Kluyveromyces lactis: one gene and its partner. The protein of the gene in region 1 purifies or fractionates together with the protein of each later gene. This does not show direct contact. Links are inferred from orthologs where the notes say so. Each region holds a gene or a part of one and is shown on either strand. Other genes may lie near its edges.

Region 1 (2,588 bases):
TCTATTGATAGCTTCTGCAGCTACAGACGCTTTTGGTTTGCCAATATCACGGGTACTGAATAGAAATTGACGGTTCAAATTGGTCAATTCGATGGTATCCATATCGACAATATGTAATTCTGGCAAACCGTACAGCGCCAATGTCTTGACAATCTCACATCCAAGACCACCGGCACCAAGGATCAATATTTTTACATCACTGACATCCATTTTGCTTGGAGGATATTGATCTGGTCGGCTCGATCAGTAACAGTTAAGGGTTGGGTCTGATCTTTATAGAATAATATTCACGTTTCTTTCAAATAAAGTGCGAAGTCTATGTGTACAATTTAACACTTAAACACGAAAGAAACTGAACAAAAGCTACGATAAAACATCCTATTGAGGTATCTTAATAGTTGTATACATACACGCATGTACATTTATATACATATATACGTGTTTATTTATAAGAGAATGGTGAGAGATGGATGAAGAAAACACATGATTGGAAAACGCAACGATGCGCGTCCCGATTATTCAGCTTTGACACCACCGTTACCAGCCTTTTCAGCAGTTTCGATAGATTTCTTGTCAGTCTTTGGTTCACTGGCACCACCGGCACCACCGAACAAAGATGGAGTCTTGAAAGGTCTCTTCAAATCACCAGAAGCTGGTTTTCCGAACAAATGAATTTGAACTTCGTTATGTTCCAAAGCGGACTTGATTGGTGAGATGGTTTGCATGAACAATGGGTTGGTGTATTTCATGTACAAATGCATGAAACCCATCATAGCCAAACCAGTGTAGATGGATTTAATGGCAGAATCAATCTGTTGTAAATCGTAATCACGAACGGTAGTGACTTCCAATTTTTTCTCGGTTTGACCACCCAATGGGTTAGCTGGAGCCACGTATTTCAAAGTGGCCAAATCGTTCTTCTTAACGATTTGAGCTCTAGCGTATTGGTAGATGGACCAAGTGATGGCAACAGAAGCGACATAAGCGATACGGATGTACAACACGATCGAAGGATCCTCCATATCCAAACGACGAGATACTTGCATCATGATCAACATGATGACTAGGTTACTGATTTGAGCATTCATGGTGGTGGTTAGAGAGTTACAGCTGGGATTGGCTTGGTAAGAAAGAGCACTTCTCTTCTAACTATGAATTGCTTATCGACGGCAGATTCCAGTGGACAAAGGACAACTAACTAACTAATTATTAGAAAAGGCATACATAAATCAGTAAGTATATAAAGTTGAAAAAGAGTAGTTCCGATAATACGTGCAACAAGTAGTAGTGCATCATTTAATAGATACGTATGTGAAAAGATGGTATACAGATTTTATTTTAAATTCCAGTCTGAATGTGGAAGAAGTGACGAGAAAATCTTTTGACGATGAGAGAGATACCCATTGTGTTACCCGGAATAACGTTGAACGGTGGCGAAAATACAAATATAGCAAATATACATATATCCGGGTAACATAAGCGGGCGCGTTATAACAGTAATCACGTGACTAGAAGAGCCACACTTTTTTGACAGCATACACCGAGCGTAGAGAAAGAAAGAGTTAGCTGCGCTAAGTTGTTACCCGCACCTCGGAACAAACCGGATCGGGCTATGTCTGTGAATGTTCCTTTCCCCTGTAGCAACATTCTCTCGTATTTCTTTTTGTGAACTTTGGTCCTTCTTTGATTCTTCCTCCGCCATTTCGTTGGGTACCTCTCTGTTCCAACTTGGTGCCGGAAAAAAAGAAAATCCAAAACGAAAGGTTTTTCCGGGTATTTTGCCCAGAAACCGGTGCACAGTCTCTTCGATATTTCCCCCCGTTTCTTTTCCTTCAACACCAGACTCGCACCTCGATCATAATTCACTCCTGAACACATTTACTCTCTTTTTACTTTTTTCCATTATGTGTCACTCCTTTCACCTATGCAGCCATTTTACTTCTGTCTCTGCCTTGTTCATTGGTTTTTCCCAGTCCAGTTGATAGGATAGAGTCATGGTTGGAACTGGAAATCTTCCTCTTCCGCGTGTTTCATTGTCGGTTTCTTTGCCGTGTTTTATTTCTTTTCCTTTTATCTCTTTTTCTTATTTCTTTATCGATGTCGATCTGGTCTTCGCTTTTTAAAGGTGGCCTGGTGATGCTTTTTATATTACCTTCTTGATTGAGATAGTTATTATTATTATTATTACTATATATATGTATATATACCGAGTGGTTATTGTTGGACGTATTAATCTGTTCGCTGCTTCATCGCAGATTGCCTTTGTCAAGTGAGTTAGTTACTTGCTTTAGAAAACTAGTTACAACTTACAAGTTGTAAGGCAAGATACATTCATACATTTTACAGATGATCAACGAAGATACACGTTCGCATAGCTCTGGGTTGGAGACGCAACTCGCCAAGGCGAGTAGCTCGTCTCCATATAAGGGTCAGGGTCAGACCCAGGAACAACAGCAACAGCAACAGCAACAGCAAAAACAGCAATCACCTATAGCATTCCCTGCGCCTTTGACTCCTTTTTTCCATAGAAACCCATATTTCAGGAACACTTCGCTGCACAGAACTGGGTCTCACGATTCTATCAATTC
Region 2 (2,500 bases), on another chromosome or scaffold:
ATCCTGAAGATGATGATGAGGATGAAGCTTATGAAGAAGACGAAGCTGAAGAAGACGAGGAAAACTCCGAAGAAGAATCAGATGACTCCTTGCCAACACCTCCGCTTCCTCCTACACAACCAATTGTGTCCAGCGTTCCTGCCGGGCCTTTGACATATGTTTTAAGATCTGTTATTGTACATTATGGTACTCATAACTATGGTCATTACATTGCATTTAGAAGGTTCCGTGGTTGCTGGTGGAGAATTAGTGACGAAAGTGTTTACATTGTCGACGAACAAGAAGTGCTTTCTACCCCCGGTGTTTTCATGTTGTTCTACGAGTACGATTATGATACAGAAACAGGGAAGATGAAAGACGATACTGAATACGAGAATGAATTCAACGTAGAGATTGAAGGTGAACCTGCTGTTGATCAAGTAACTCATTGAATTTTATTTTGCAATTTCACGCATCTAGTTACATAGATACATAAATATCACAAATCCCCTAATATAATAGCATGTTACAATCAGAGTTTTGGAGGAGTTTGAAACGCTGTACGTAAACCTCTTTACTTGTGAGAACAAAAAGGCTCACACAAGATTTTCCTGTGTCTCATTTTCTTTACCCAAATACTGGGCATACCTTGCAGCTTCCTCTTGTTGTTGCTCTCTTAAATCCTCCGCGATCAACTCATCAACATCATAATCAAATTCAGCTTCGTCCTCATTGTATTTACCAATGACACGCTTCTTCAACCCTGTTTTCCCATCGATTTCGAACTTCCGAGTCCCAAATCCCTCACCTTCTTGTGATGAACTAACTTTAAACTTCACAGGTGCATCCTCTTTCTTCAATTTTGCATATTTTGCAAGGGATCCAGCCTTTTCCGAATCTTTGGCATCACCACTGCGTCTGGTAGTCTTCTTGTCCACTGAATATGAACCAATTCCTCCAATTAGCGGTAGTAATACAACGAAAGCTACCACTAAAAGAAACACAATTAAATATACAAATGGGTTCATTGCGAAAGGCAGTACTGACGTCTAGTTGGCACTTTTCGTCAAGAAGTTGATATTATATCTTAAGAAACAGTTGTTTCCCTTTGTATGCATAGCCATTAGCCATATAGTGTGAGTGTCGGCTCATCGATCTTTTTTTTTCAATATAGATTGTGGAAATTAGATATAAACTTAAAAGACTTGAAGGACCTTTTCAGTTGAAGTAGGTTGAGAAATCACAGTTTAGGTACGTTATTCTCTATCACGTTGAGTTCAGCATACAACATATTGAGGTGCGAAAACTGAATCAGTCCTAGTTGCTATTAGCTTGAATTAGTAAATTTACCTTGAGGCTTGCGGGAACAGACAACGTTCAAAGGAATTATTCGGAGTATTGAATTGATACAGTAGGAAAGAAATTAGAAGATAAGGAATAAATGCTAGTGAAAAATAGCTCCAGGGTCATTAGAAGCGTCATTTCCAGACGTAGTATTGTTACCAAAGCGATACCTAGCATAGGTCTCGCAAGAACTGCACCAACTAGGGCTCCTGTGTTGTCAAAACTCGGGATTTTGAATCAACATAATCTACCCTTTGTTACAGTACAGCGGATGCATAACAGTATAGCAGCATCAACAGATGGGAAAACTATCCCAGAAGAGATTCTGGATATGCCTATCGAAGTGTATCACGAAATTTCTGATGAGTTTATGGATAGCTTACTGGATCAGCTCGAAATTCTCTGTGATTATCATCCAGAAGTCGTGCAGGATGTTGAGATGTCACAAGGTGTGATGAGTATAGAAGTTCCTTCCGTTGGTACATATGTAATCAACAAGCAGCCCCCAAATAAACAAATATGGTTGGCTTCTCCGGTGTCTGGGCCCAACCGATTCGATTACTATCAAAAGGAGTGGGTTTCGTTGAGAGACGGTACGAAGTTACTGGATATCCTAAACAAAGAGCTCAGTGACCGACTAGAAGGCGACGAAATTGACCTACATTACTGAACGATGTAAATATGATCTTGCTGCTCACAAACTGCCTTACAACTATGGCATGTCCGCAGTTCACCGTTAAGGACCCAATTTCGCAGAAACAATTCAGAGATCACAATCAACCAATTTTACTCTTATTTATGTATATACTTTTGTTTGTTTCATTTATTTATACCTATAACGTCCAAAATATACCTTACTGACGCGATTGCACTTACACAGTCCCTGACTTCTTTTGTTCTTTATAGTCTATACTTTGTTGCTATATAAATGAAATCTGTTTGACTCAGTAACTTTCTCTTCTATAAATGAAATCTGTTTGACTCAGTAACTTTCTCTTCTATAAACCACATTTGATAGTCTCGGTAAAGAAGGGGTCATTCTGAGCCAGAAGCAAACAACCCCAATCATAACAATCATGACATTCAAATCGTTCATTATCACATTCAAAGACAGCGTTCCAGAAGCCGACGCTTCAAAGATCAAAAACTCCATTTCTTCTCTGGGTGGTACTATTGT

The links. The genes of interacting proteins can lie anywhere in the genome.
Region 2: the proteins of SND3 (region 1) and EXP1 purify together in Saccharomyces cerevisiae (affinity purification with mass spectrometry; 3 studies listed by BioGRID). This does not show direct contact. The link is inferred for Kluyveromyces lactis from reciprocal best matches to the Saccharomyces cerevisiae genes SND3 and EXP1.

Annotation. Positions count from the first base shown.
Region 1 is NC_006038.1:832,068-834,655, forward strand, and holds SND3 (Snd3p), read right to left. Parts: upstream 1,089-2,588; coding exon 516-1,088; downstream 1-515. Other genes in the region: NEDD8-activating protein UBA3, read right to left, coding at 1-210; glucose-induced degradation complex subunit VID24, read left to right, coding at 2,347-2,588. UniProt on the Saccharomyces cerevisiae protein: Functions in the SND pathway, a SRP (signal recognition particle) and GET (guided entry of tail-anchored proteins) independent pathway for targeting a broad range of substrate proteins to the endoplasmic reticulum.
Region 2 is NC_006041.1:786,876-789,375, forward strand, and holds EXP1 (Exp1p), read right to left. Parts: upstream 1,008-2,500; coding exon 576-1,007; downstream 1-575. Other genes in the region: ubiquitin-specific protease UBP1, read left to right, coding at 1-431; YFH1 (ferroxidase), read left to right, coding at 1,421-1,993; PBI2 (Pbi2p), read left to right, coding at 2,400-2,500. UniProt on the Saccharomyces cerevisiae protein: Specific cargo receptor protein for the plasma membrane ATPase PMA1 that acts with PSG1 to promote the transport and maturation of PMA1.